2 linked regions of the Struthio camelus genome follow. The protein of the gene in region 2 interacts with the protein of the main gene of each other region in a biochemical or structural test. Links are inferred from orthologs where the notes say so. Each region holds a gene or a part of one and is shown on either strand. Other genes may lie near its edges.

Region 1 (7,161 bases), on a different chromosome or scaffold from region 2:
TTGTGACATCACTGCAGTCACTGGAGAAAATTACTGAACCCCATATACTGCACTGCCGGCTGCTACACAGGGAGCTGTATTTAGACAGGGAATAATTTCCGATCTTAGTCTTTCTTATTTCAAGCTATGCTGTCCAGAGGTCAAACTGCTTATTTTCACTCAACGCACATTCCCACCAGGAAGAGCAACATGCTTTACAACATAACCTAAAGAATAATTGAATGCATAAAAAAGTTAAAGTGATTTATAACAAATGACAGATGTACCAGGTGGAGCATGATCTGCTGGAGTGGGTCACTGTTCATTTAATATCCATGCAGCTGCTCACTCTTCAGTCACTTTGGGGAGGTGAGTGCTAGTCAGACACATACTGTACCAAGACAGCTTCAAATTCAAGATAGACTCCAAGCTCTGTGCAAATGCTAGAGCAGAACAAGACAGGCTAACGAACTGCAAATACAGGGCCCAATCATGGCTGTGGCTTATTTCTTGCACAGAGTAGTAACATGCATTGTACACTCTTGGACCCACATATGCCCAAAGGCTGGGAGGCCGTGTGTGAAAAAGATTCTCACTTCTTCAGTAGTTTGTAGTGGAAGGAGTCGAGTCGGAGAAACAGATCTCCTGTCTTTAGCCTTAACTTAACGTGAGGAGAACGCAAAAGAGGGACAAACAGCTGGAAAAGACATGTGAACAGACCTGCACAGTTTCAAATTCTTTCAGAATGACAACTAATATACCAAGTGCTAGTTACACTAGAGTAAACCACACCTCCATCTAGGACAAAAATCCTATTTAAGATTAGTCTTATTTCCAGCTTGAGACTATCAAAGTTCAGCCTTCAGCGACTGAATCTTAATACATAGTCATCTGTTCAGCTAGAGCTCTTTATTTTCTTAACTCTCTGTGGATGCTTCAACAATATTATTGCCTACTAAGTCTTGATAAATTAAGTATGTTGTCAGTTTGCCATTGTGAAACAGCTTTTTCAGTCCACAAAATTATTTTTTATCTCCAGATGTTCTCCCAAATTTTTCAGCATCTTTTCAAAAGCGCTAACAGCAGAATCAGACTTTGTTTAATGTGCCCCTAGACCAACTATCAGCTAAGCTGTTCTTTTGCCCCAAACTTCATTAGCGCTTAAGATTTTTTCGATTGACAGTTATTGGATAAAAAGCCCTTCTCGGAGGTAAAGCTTTCCAGTAAATCGTTTTCATCCTGCAACTTACACATGCATTCTCTGTTCCTAGACAACCTTGCTTCTGACTGTACTAAAATCCAAACTGTTTAATTAAAACCAATTACTGAACAACGAAAACCACTTTGCAGTACTAAACTACCATCAAAATTATTTTTAACTGCACAAATCACCTATTTACAGACCTTGTAGGCTTTGATTTTATTTCTTCCAGGTAACTGCTAAAAATATCGAGGAGAAGGTGGCTGTCAAAAGTCAGCTTGGGCATCGAGATAATAATTTTGGTCCTATCTCTAGATGAGCATGACCTGCATCAACCAGTAGTGACAAAGGTCGAGTTTGGTTTGGTACAGAAGTTAACGAAAACCCATGGGTTTGACTTGCATTTCATTAGTAATTACAAGCTCCAAATGAGCTCAAGGATCCACTACACTACACACATTGCAAATAGACAGTGCCAAATTTCAGAGAGAACGTGTACAGAGATGCAGAAGGGGAAACTGAATCAGCAAGAGATAATAGGAATGGAACGCATAACTGAAGTCATAATCTTGGTGCAACAAATAGAATAGTTGGGGTTGGCAGGGACCTCTGGAGATCATCGGGTCCAACTCCCCTGCTCAAGCAGGGTCACATAGAGTGGGTTGCCCAGGACTGTGTCCAGTTGGATTTTGAAAATCTCCAAGAACGGAGACTCCACAACCTCTCTGGGCAGCCTGTTCCAGTGTTCAACCACCCTTAGAGTGAAAAAGTGTTTTTTTATGTTCAAACAAAATACATCTGAGAAAGAAAAGGGGTAGTGCTGAACCTTGAACATAACGGCTTTTATCACAGCCATATTTGTATCCCTCTGGCTCCCATCATGTGCATGACTATTTAATTAGTATGATGTTTTGCAGGGCACAGAGTGCACAGATTCATTTGACCAATCGCTGATAGGGGCAGATGACTCCTGTTCAAGTCTTGCTTCCTTCAAGTAGTTTTGCACATGGTTAAACTGAGCTCTAATATCCCTGTTGCTGCTATGCTTACCCCCCTTGCTCCAGCTTCTTCCACTCTCCTAACATACGTTTATTACAGAAGTGCTGCGGCGTGACTTCAGCAGATGATGCTGTACATACACCTCACAGCATCTTGTCTCTACTCCCTTTCTGTGTGGATAACCAACAGTGCTGACCACCGCTAATTAGCAGGCGCAGGAAATATTAAGGGGGAGGAAAAAATAAAAAAGCCCAGTGCTAACACAACTGAGATGTGTTTCATGCTTAGTCTGGGGAGCAAGTTAATTTGTTCTGACCTTATTTCAGTTCTGTTTTGAGCAGGACAAAAGGCTAGCGAGCGTTCTGGCAGGCGCCGCTGAGGAGCGGCGCTCTGCGCTGCGCTGCGCTGTGCCGTGCCGCCCGCCGACAGAAGCCTCCCGCCCCGCCGGCCAGGCCGCGGCCGCCGCCCCCAGCCCGGCCCGGCGGCTGCCCAGGGCCGCGCAGGCCCAGCAGGCCCGGCGTCCCGCCCGCTGCCGGGCCTCCTCCGGCTCAAACGCCCGCACAGGAGGCTGCTCCCCAGACAGCCCTGCGCGGCCTCGCCCCCCCCTGCTCCGAGCTCTGCGCTCACGCACCCGCCGCCGGCCTCGCCCACCGCCCGGCCCGGCCCGGCGCGGCGCACTCACGCGTTCCCCACGTGGATGCGCGGCACCACCTCGTTGCTGTGCGCGCTCGGCAGGCTGTAGCAGCCGCTGCCGTTAGCCAGGAGGTCGTTCAGCTCCTCCACCGAGATCCGATAGTCGGACATGGCCGGGCCCGCTCCCTGCCGGCCAGGCGCAGGGCCCCGCGGCGCCGCAGCTCGGGCCGGGCCCGCCCCGCCCCGCCCCGCCCCGCCGGGCACCGGCCGCCTCCCGGCGGGCGGAGTCGCGTCAGCTGGTTCCGCCGCCGGCGCCAGGAAGCGGCAGTTTCCCCACGGCCGCGCGGCGCTTCTGGTTGCCCCGATCCGCCCGAGCCGGCGGGCTGCACGCTCGCCCCGCGGGGCATGGACTCGGCGGGCCTCACCCTGAAGCTGCTCCTGGTCGGAGACAGCGCTGTGGGGAAGTCCAGGTGCGGCGGCGGCGCGGGGCGCGCGGGCGGGGCGCGCCCGGCGCCGGGCTGACTTCTCGCTCTTCCCCCGCAGCCTCCTGCTCAGGTTCACCGACGGCTCCTTTGAGCCGTGCCTGAAGCCCACTATCGGTGAGTGCGGCCGCCCGGCCCCGAGCGAGGGGCGTTGCGGCTGCTGCTTGCTTGGGTTCCGCCGACGAGAGAGCAGCGGAGCGGGGAGCTGGGCTCGGGCCAGTGCTTGGCGGGAGCGGGCTGCGTGCGGAGGAGCGGGCGGGCGTGGGCGCCGCGAGCGGGAGGGCGGGCGCCGTGAGGGGGAGCGGGCTGCGTGAGGGGGAGCGCGGGCGCCGTGAGGGGGAGGGCGGGCGCCGTGAGGGGGAGGGCGGGCGCCGTGAGGGGGAGGGCGCGCGCCGGGCGCCGTGAGGGGGAGGGCGGGTGTGGGCCGGGTGAGGGGGAGCGGGCTGCGTGAGGGAGAGAGCGGGCGCCGGGCGCCGTGAGGGGGAGCGGGCGGGTGTGGGCCGGGTGAGGGGGAGCGGGCGGGCGGCGGGCGCCGTGAGGGGGAGGGCGGGTGCCGTGAGGGGAGCGGGCGGTGGGTGTCCGGGTGGTCCCTCGACATTCTCGTCGTGATATTCTTTCCCTTGTTCTCGAGTCATAGGTGTCGATTTTAAAGTGAAGAGAATGGTGGTAGATGGCCGTGCAGTACAGCTTGCAATATGGGTAGGTTTTGTTCTGGACAGAAAAGGAAATCTCAAGAACGTGGGATGTTTTTTGTTTTTTTTTCTCCCTTTTTAAACAAGTCTTCTGCATATGCTTATGGTTCGAACATGCATAGGGTGGGTGTCTTCCATGATTATACAGCAGGAATGGACAAAGTTCTTTCAAAAAATTCGTGAATGTTGTGGTTTGAGGACTTCCCTGAATTCTAGCAGAGATCCTGCTCGTTCCTGCAGTTACGCATCTGGGTTTCTGAAATCCTCTGTGAGGTCTTAGGCTTGAGGAGATGTGGCCTTGCGAGAAGGGCAGGTCTTTCGTATGACCCAGAAGCGTTCCCAAGACAGACAACGCACATGTTGAGGAAATAACAGAGGAAAAAGGCACAAAGGAGAGAGATTTTGAGAACTGAGTTGCGTGATCTCCTTCAGAGGCTGTGTAGCCAATTTTATGTGTGCCAAACCAGAAACCCTCTAGATATTTTGGTTAAAATGAAGGAAACAGAAATGTATTTTATGATCTATTGAAGGGCCAAATTTTCCAGAAGACTTGAGTATTTGCCCTCAATTTCCGGGTACTATGTTATAGCACCTGGAGATTGGAAACCAGACTGCAGCTGTGTATCCAGGATTATTTAAAATAGTATTAAAGCCCTCACTCTACACCGTAGCAGAAGTACCTCCATTACAACTATGGATATAGTCCTATTCTAAAATACCTGCAGTATTTCTTTTATCTTTAAATGGCATATTTATTAAAACAGATTGGAGAGAGGAGAACACACTAAAATGGAAAATGTACAGAGAAAGCACTCAAACTATAGAGAGGATTGTGGGGAGGAATGGGACTAGGAGACTTCCTTCAATTCTCCCAAAGGGACTGAAAGAGACTGAGCCCCAGAAGGAGTTTTATGCATGTGGTCATGGGTATCTGAGAAAGAATATGCTATTCTGAAGTCGGTAATTGGATTATTGGAAAGAAGGCACAAATGTGTCTTAGGTTGGTATTAATGCAGGCAATATAAATGCCAAGACTTATATTATTTTGTTATTTTCAGTCTTACACTTTGAGTACAGAATGCAGAGCAAGAATGATAAAGTCACAGTTGCTGTAGTTAGCATACATATTGCTTGTATTCTGAGCAAGCTGCACGCAAAGCAGAAGCTCTGTTGAGAGTAATAAATAAGTATTTGGTCTAATAATCACACAGGGGTGTGTCGTCTTGCTATGAAATGAAAAGCAAGGCCAGAACCTGCCCAAGTTGAATAGCTGGAAAAGGCGCTTTTGCTGTAGTGTGTAACAGCTTCAGGAGATAGTGCTAATTAGTGCAATTGCACTATTTTTTTTAATCCTATGTTAAATAAAAACTTAAATGCATATACAGAGTGTCAAAGAGAGGCTTCTACTTTATTATTCTAGTGTGTGTGGGTACCTAAGAGTACAGTCTGCTTAGTAAGGATGATGTGAATTAAGGATGTGTATTTCCAATTCTGTGCTTTTAACAAAAAGACTAAACCATTTCTTTCTTCTATCTACTGTAAGCTGTACATATATTTAAATAAAGAGAGAATTTTTTGTAAAAATGATCTTTGTGCAATTCCTTTGCCTCCTTCTTGTTCATTCTGGGGAATTTTGAATTTCACATTGTACTCTAGGAGCTATTTAGAAGCTTCATGAGAGTGAATATGGCATGCTGTAGTACTGATTGAACAAAATTACTGATTTTAAATTTCTCATCTGCTTGACATCTCAGCAGCCTTGAAATAGTTCTTACTAACTAGGCTCTCCTTTCCTGCTGTGGATGAGCAATGGGAGGTTTTAGAATCTCTATATTTCTCCTTTCTTGCAGTGTCTGTCACTGGGAAAACCCTGATTCCTCACCTCTTTCAGTTCAGCTGACTGTTAAACTGACTAAATGCAGCTTCTTAGCTTGCAGCAAGAGTCTCTGACATATGTTTCTTGAGTCGCATTGACTTTCCTCATCTTACTCATGGTACAGATGTCTGTGCTTATCACTTCATCTTTTAATGAAGTCTTCTCCACTCTTTTCTACCCCTTTTATCCATTTTCTGTTGTGCTGCAGCTAATGTTTTCTGGCTGCTTCCCTCATTCTGTTGTCTTATGCTGTTACATGTCGTTATTAGTCAGAAAAATGCTAATTTTGTTTAGCTTATGTCATGTAATTTAAATTACCTTTTTTTTTTCTAAACACCTTTGGTTTTTCCCCTGTAGGACACAGCAGGACAAGAGCGCTTTAGAACGCTGACTCCCAGTTATTACCGAGGAGCTCAAGGGGTTGTTCTAGGTAGGAGGTATATGGAAGAGAAACATGGTTACAAAAAAATTGTGAAGTCCTTATTACTAAGTAAATGTAAGTTTCTTCTCAAAGGAGATGGAGAGAATCAAAGGAACAGATATTATGTTTTTTACAACACTTCTACGTCACTAGCTCAAACATTAAGTGTGCAGAATTTATTGGCAGGACATAGTGCGTCTTCAAACTATTTTAAATTAAAAAATATGTAGCTGTCACACTACAAACCATTGAGTAGATGAATTATCACCTTTATTCTAATTACTTTGGCGAGTTTCTGATCATAAGCCAAATTGGTTTTCAAGTTTGGATTTTTTCCCTATTTTTACTTTTTTTTTTTTTTCCAGAAACATTATTGATGTGATTCCTATGAAACATGAAGTTTGTAGCACAAATAATGAATGGCTAGTCCCATTCTGTCCAACAATCTCAATTATTTAAAAAAAAAAAAATCTTATTCTCCAGGGACAGTAAAGACTAAAAAATTTGCTGTACAAAATGTTCTTTCTGACCCTGATGCAGCCTGCAGCTTTATTTAACCTTAGTGATTACCTGAATGCAGTTATGAAGTTACCAGTGACCAAAAGTTACTTTTTACTGACATTTGGAATCTACTGTTTTTAACACTAGTGCATACATGTATATATGCTTTAAATGAGAAGACAGAATAATTATTTCAAAACAATTTGTGGCCCTGTTCAGATCTAGCAACATGTATAAGATCTCAGCTATTAAGCTGGTTTTCCCATCACAGATGTGTCACACAGATGCTCATGTTCTGTAATCCCTAGTGACTTCAGGTGAGCGTAGCTGATGTGTTCCAGCTCTGGGAAGACCATATGGTTGATGCATCTATTTGT
Region 2 (6,941 bases):
TGCAGAAAACAAAAATACCAATCTGTTTACTAGTTGTAACTCCAAAATGTATAAGAAAGCCATTGTAAGCTTCCTGCAAAGTTAGTCAGAATGCTGGATGGGGGGAAAGGGAGGGGGAAACACTGGGAAAAACCCTGTAAGTTAGCTTTGTCATCAACTGACCAGTGATTTGGGCCTTGTTTTGTTAACTACCTGTGAAAGACTGAATAATGCCCTAATCGCCTTTTTTCCCTCCCGTACCTCCAACAGGAGGATGTTTTTAACTTCCCAACAGCATAAGATTACAGAGAGATTCTCATTTGTACTGAGGTCACTTTACACTGTCAAAGCAGTGGCCAACATTTAAATGAAAATCAGTCACAAGGGATTTTAGCTGTATGTCACCAGTTAAATCAAGCCCAGGTCGGTAGTGACTACGAGTTATTAGTATCTGATGCTCTTTATCAGTCTTAGGATGGTTCCCTGTGGATCAGAGCTCTCATATCTAAGTAATTTAAGTTTTTGTCACGTTCATCACCATGGTTCCTGAGTGACACAGAAGTTAAAATATGTCTTTATACAACATCTTCCATGTCTTACGTCTCTCTCTCTGTCTTCACCCCCACACAGAGGCTTGAGGTCTTTTTAAATAATGCTGGGAAAATCGTTTTACACACATAATATTTGCATTTTCTTTGGAGGATGAGAGGGTTCAGGGTCATTCCGAGGCTCTCGGAAAGTGAATGCCATAACCCGACAGCAGGGACCACGAAAGCGCTGTCTGGACTGCCCCTACACAAACAGCGTGACGATTGCAGTGATGATGGTTTTAGGAGAGGTAGCTTTAGTTCTAAATCAGCACAAAAAAAATGGAAAACCCTCCCACCCTCAGGAAAGAGTGACGCTCTAGGGCACCTACGTATCATTCCTGTTCTTTGCCTATATCTGATCACGCTGTTTCCAGGACTCATAGGGTCTTTCATAGCATGACATTTACTTTTCAAGAGAACTATTTACAGACCACAAAGTTAACAGTTAAAGTAGATATTTGTAACAGTACAGAGAATCTCTAGACCCTAACTGTACAATGAACTCATCCAAGTGACTCCTGAACTTGATATCATGATGGAGATAGATAGTCCAAACTGTCGCACATGTAAACTGACCTATTTTATAGCTTGGCTGGTTCCTCATACAGCTTTCAAACTGAAGATACTGCACTTCTGTTTGGACAGCTCTTCTTAGCAGTGGTTTTATTTCTGCTTGAGGCATGGAGACATTTTTTTCACCTGCTTTTTGTTATCTGCAATCATTTTACAGTAAGTATCACCTCTCCCCACAACATAACCCTTTATTCTGATCATGGAACTAATCATGTGCTTAAAACATATTTACATTCCTTGCAGAACCAAGGCTGTAATGTCACCTTGTCACCGTGTGAGGGAAAGACCCAGCATAAAGTGTAGGTAATAGCTGTGTATTTATAAAGGCTGAAAAGCAGTTGCTACCATTTCTATCTGGTCTGTCTAACTCAACAACTGTATTGCTACCTGGAACTACATACAACTAGGTTCTGTCACAAGAGGAACTGTTGGCAAAGCATGCCATAGCCTTTTGACCGCTTATTTGGGTTTAATTGGATTAGACATATATTTGAACACAGCACTCAAAGCAGTTGACAGTCTTTCCACAATTTCCTGGTCTGCTGGTTGGTTTCCTTTTTGATCTGACACATCCTGGTGAAGGTGGAAAATAATCTAGATATACACCAGTTTTTAATTAAATTTTGCTATGACAGGTTGTGTTTAAGCTAGCTTCTCTATAATCATTTGTTTTGCCTTTGCTGATGACATTTATTTATGTATGTAATCAGAACTGTAAGCATAATTTCATTTTTAGAGTTAAGAGAAGAACCTTTAAAATCATATTTTACTTACACAGTTTCAGAAAATTTAAACATTTATTCACCTCTACTGCTGTCTGCAATTTCTCAGAAAAATAATGTGGGTTTCCAAAGTGAAAAAAAAAGCACATTATGGAAAGGAAAGAGTATTATATACAAGGAAAAATAAAGCCATAACAAGTAATTTTAACTATCCCACATCGATACACAAAAACCAAGCCATATGATTTAATGTGTGATAAATAGAAGATGGATTTTTTTTTTTTCATTAGATTACGTTGGTCATCCAGGATAGCTTTCACTCCACCAAACATGCTGGGGCTGCATCTGAAACCCTGAAGCCTGCTGGGTAGGTCCATGCCAAAGGAGAGTCCTTAGGCTGCAGCTAGGCTAAGCCACTGCTCAGTTTAAACTGATAACTCTTTCCTTTTGACTTCTGCCGAAGCTTTGGGGGATGCTAATAAGTCGTAATCAGGAGGTTGTACAATATTTGTAACCAGCTACAGAAGACTGCAATTGTTTGGTCATGGTGATGGAAGCTGGTTTGCAGCAAGGAGTGACAGAAGGTGGGATGCAAGAAAAGAGCCTCTGGCAGTCCGACTTGCAGCTGGACTCGGGCAGTGGGGAGAAGCAAGACGGGGATCGCACACCCCGAAGGCAGAGAGAGAGACATGAAGCAGCACGGTCGGCAGTAGAAATGTCAACAGAAGTCTAGAGAGAGCAGCGGCAGAGCTGCGAGAAACGTTGAGAGAAGAAAGAGGGCAGAGCACAACCAGTGAGACCCTGACAGGAACTTGATCGGCACGTAACACCTTCTGGTTAAAGAAGAACACAAAATTAACAGCGACTTTTAAGAAAAGCATGAGTCAGGGGTAATGAGCTGATTTCACATTGGGGTCTTTCGACAGGGTAGGATGGGCATGAACATGGACACACTAGTGTGATGAGATATATGGAGATCTGTATGTGATTAATGCATTTTCAAAGGAACAGGAGAGACTATCTAAAACCATGCCAATAATAGTGAAAAATTAAGTAGCAAGTACAATTTTTTGCCTTAAAAAAACATGGAATGTAAGTATAGTGTTTACAGAATTGCAGAAAAAAATTCAGAAGCAAAGACTCTTGATGTTTTTGGTGAACCTAAAGAACATGGCAGGAAGAGGGAGCCTTGCAGGAAAACAGGAAAAATGGATATTGTTGCAAGCGACAATCATGGCATGATACAAACTATAACAAATTAAATCTTCACCTCCTGCTCAAAACCTCGAGTTTATTTACATTCATAGGGGAAACAAGTAATGGGAAAATATAATTGCATGTAAAAACCATATGCTAATTAGAGGTTGCAAAACTAAGCCCTGAAAAGTCAGAAAGCGTTAGAAATAAACTTGCCCTCCCTCCAGTAACCCAGCTCTCTGGCAGGATGTTAACCTTGCCCTGCGTGACATCAGGGGCTTGCGGCAGAGCCAAGGACAGAGCAGGGCCTGTTGGGCCTCAGATCAGCACCTTAAACGCAAGAGAAACCCCCTCTCCGCCCGCAGCTGACTGCTGCGCGGGGGGCAGCGTTGTCACAGGGAGCTGAAGAAAACAGAGCCCGGCTGCAAGGGCCGCAGGGAGCGCAGGCCTCGGCCCCAGGCTTCCGCCCCGCGTTTCCTCCGGGCCGTCCGTCAGCCAGCAGCGAGGCCGCCGGCCCGGCCCGGCGCTGACGGCCCTCGGCTCGCCCCGACAGCCCGGGCGCCGCCGAGCCTGGGCCTCAACGGGGCGCCCCGCGGACCCGGCCCGGCCCAGCCGGCCCCGTCCGAGGGCGGCCGGGTGCCATTTCCCGGGCCGCCGCCGCCACCTGACGCCTCTAATGGCGCCGGGCGGCCGCGCGGCTCCCGCAGAGCCGGCACGCCCACCACGTGACCCCGCCCCTCCCCCCGCGGCTGCGGCGGCGGCCGTTACCGCAGTGCCTGGGCCCCGCCCCTCCTCCTGCCCCGCCCCCCCGGGGCGCCTCCTGGCCCCGCCCCACCCCCGCGCGCGCGCGAGCTCCCCCTCCCTCCTCCCCTCCCCTCCCCTCCCCCCGGGCGCTGTGGGTGCGCGCGCGCGCCCGGCAGCGTCTCCTCACAGCGGCGGCGGCGCTGACGGGGGCTCGGAGCCGGCGGCCGGTGCTCCGGAGCGCGGCGGAGCCGGCGACGCCTCTTTTACTTCCCTCCACCCCCCCCTCCCCGCATCTCTTTCCTCGCCCCCCTCTTTCCTCCTCACCCCGCCTTCCTTCCCCCCGCCCCCCCCCCCCCCCCCCGCACGCAGTCACCGCGGTTCCCGGCACGGACAACATGGCGGCGGTGTCGGGGGCCGGGGCTGCGGGTGGCGCTGCCAACGCCGGGGGCCCGGAGATGGTGCGGGGCCAAGTGTTCGACGTGGGGCCGCGCTACACCAACCTCTCCTACATCGGCGAGGGGGCCTACGGCATGGTGTGGTGAGTGCCGGCCGCCGCGCCCCGCCGGGCCAGCGCCCTTGCCCTGCACAGCTCCCTCCCTGCCTGCCTCCCTCCCTGCCTGCCTGCCTTCCTCCCTCCGCCCCGCCGCCCTGCCCGGCCGCAGCCTCCCCGGGGGCTCGGCCGCGGGCTGCGTCCCGCCCTTGCGGGGGGCAGCGGCCCGTGCCTGGCCCTCGGGGGAGGGGAAGCTAGGCCTCCAGCATCCTTGCCTCTTTCCTCATCCCCGCTTTCCCCTTCGCGCTGCCGAGGTTGTCCCTCCGGCATCGCCCGTCCCCTCCCCGGCCGCCAACCCTCGGCTGCCGTCGCCTCTTCCCGCCCCCCCCCCCGCCAAAATTCCTGCACCGTGGGGTGCAGCTACGCGTCTCGTTTCCTTTCTGTCGTGTGCTCGTTATTTTTAATTTTTTTTTCCTCCTGCTTCTCAAGTTGCTTTTTCCCTTTCTTTTTTCTCTCCTTACAGTTATATTATAGACACTGAAAAAGGGGAGAAGGTCATAACATCATGCTAACAGCTCTGTTTTTTCCTTTGTGCCTGTGCTGCATGTTCCTAGGGTCATGGTTGATAAACAGAAAAAGTGAATCTGTGTATACGAATTGCTGTCCCTATCTGCCTTTTCTTTGGATGTGTTTGTTGACTGTTGCACAGCCTGCCAGATTATTGTCTAAATTAACATATATGAGAGATGAAAGTTCTCTTCAGCTCTTCCAGTTCTTGATTATTTTATATCATGAAGACTGGTGGTAAGCCTCACTAGAAAGCAGTAGTACACATTTGCTTTGGTTAGTATCACTCTTAAAAACCTAACCAGTGAACTATAAAATGCCTAAAATGTAAGCTACCTGGATTTAGAGTGTGAGATGGGTTTTCTTTTAGCAGCCTGCATGTGGTGGGCTGAGTCAAGATGATGCTCTGAGGTGGTATACCTAGTGACTGGGTTATAAAACTGACGTACTTTGTGACCTTAGTTACAATTCTTATTCTGTTTTTTACCATTAGCAAAACAGGATAAAGTGACTTAATTTGAATCCCTTGTTTCAAAAATAAAACTATTTTTTGTTATTTTATCAACTTTTTTCCAATGCTGCTTCTGTTTCATGTTCAGATTTGACCAGAAGTACTAAATGAAGTTTACAGGTTATGACTTGGTGAAAGCTATATTAGCGATAATGTCTCTCTCTGATGTTTAATCTTTTATAGTATAAACTAGTACACTTATCGGTGAAGGCTCTTCACAACATCCAAGTGTATGTTACAGATTTTACAGCTGTGATGGATTGTGCTGGCTTATTAAAATGAAGTCATCTTGTATTTCAGAATGGAAGCTTTCATTTAGGCCTGAATTTAGCTGGGAGATATGCCTGTATTTAAGTTTTGAATTGTGGCCTTCACTTTTTTAGCTGGGGGAAGAACCTTCAAAATGAAAATCAAAAATCCTGTTTATGGTGTAAAAATACCCCTGTTATCATTTTAGTGTTATAGATCACAGCAATATATCCACTCTAAAACTGACATTAATGTAGCTTATGGTACAAACCATATTTTACTGTGGTGCAAATCATCTGTGCTGGGACAACTAAGCCAGTGCACATAATCTCATTATTGACTGCGCTGGTTTACGCATGCAGTCTGATTTGGAATAGTACTTCCAAGATGTGTGTATAGTCCCGCTCATATCAATGGGATGTTAAAAATGGTAACACAGATGTTGTGTTAAAGCTAAAATGTTTCACCAATGATCAAAGATTACAAGAAGCAGTATGTTGGCAGTTGATGCCCTTTTTCGGCATCACTAGGTTGGTGAGCAGATATAGGGAAAATATGGCCCCTTCCCCCCCATCCAATGGTGTGTCATTAAGTTCTATTACTTAATATTTTATTAAGTTCTATCTCCAAGACTGGCTATGTAATGTTATTTTTTATTTAATAGCTCATTCTAGTGTTGTGGATTTTCTTATATTTTTTCGCTTTTTTTTTCTTTCTTTTTTTTTTTTTCTCTAGTATGATTGCTGTACACAGTTATTAACAAAAATAGAGACATACACATTTGGCTCCTGAGTTTTTTCCCTCTAAAGTTATTCATGTGAAATACTAGATTTGATATGTTGAGCTGTTAATTAATCATTGCTCTTCTGCCTTGGGTGTGAAATGACAGGGAACAAAGTCTCAGTTTGTATTGTATACTTGGTAAGTATTGGATTGCACATGTTCTAGCTAAATGCCATAGCAAATGTAATGTTTTGTAGTGCACAGCAGATGAGCTGCTACGATTAAATAAGATTACTTATTAATCAATGGAGGTATAGGTTATGTAGATTAATACTAAATGTTTCATGTCTTGCTTTGATTGTTAATGCAGTGAGGATCTGCAGAAGCCTCTCCCTTGTGAGGTGATTAGAGGGCAAGCTATGAGAGTAAAGATGGAGATATTCCCTGCAGCTGCAAAATCCATTTAAATCTGTACACTTTAATGAAGGAAAACAAAGCAAGCTCTGATGTTTTTGGTTTTTTAGACCCCCAGCTAATGCATGCAACTTCAGAGGATCTAGTTATTTTTAAGTGCCTTCTGCCATAAGGCTTGTTAT

What was found.
Region 1: of the proteins of MAPK1 (region 2) and DUSP3, one has a biochemical effect on the other in vitro, tested with the Homo sapiens proteins (2 studies listed by BioGRID and IntAct). The link is inferred for Struthio camelus from reciprocal best matches to the Homo sapiens genes MAPK1 and DUSP3.

What each region holds. Positions count from the first base shown.
Region 1 is NC_090966.1:8,197,419-8,204,579, forward strand, and holds the start of DUSP3 (dual specificity protein phosphatase 3), read right to left. Parts: upstream 3,072-7,161; 5' UTR 2,984-3,071; coding exon 2,862-2,983; intron 1-2,861. Other genes in the region: ras-related protein Rab-18-B, read left to right, coding at 3,218-3,282, 3,356-3,411, 3,926-3,993, 6,220-6,292. UniProt on the Homo sapiens protein: Shows activity both for tyrosine-protein phosphate and serine-protein phosphate, but displays a strong preference toward phosphotyrosines. Specifically dephosphorylates and inactivates ERK1 and ERK2.
Region 2 is NC_090958.1:10,423,869-10,430,809, forward strand, and holds the start of MAPK1 (mitogen-activated protein kinase 1), read left to right. Parts: upstream 1-3,895; 5' UTR 3,896-4,200; coding exon 4,201-4,343; intron 4,344-6,941. UniProt on the Homo sapiens protein: Serine/threonine kinase which acts as an essential component of the MAP kinase signal transduction pathway. MAPK1/ERK2 and MAPK3/ERK1 are the 2 MAPKs which play an important role in the MAPK/ERK cascade.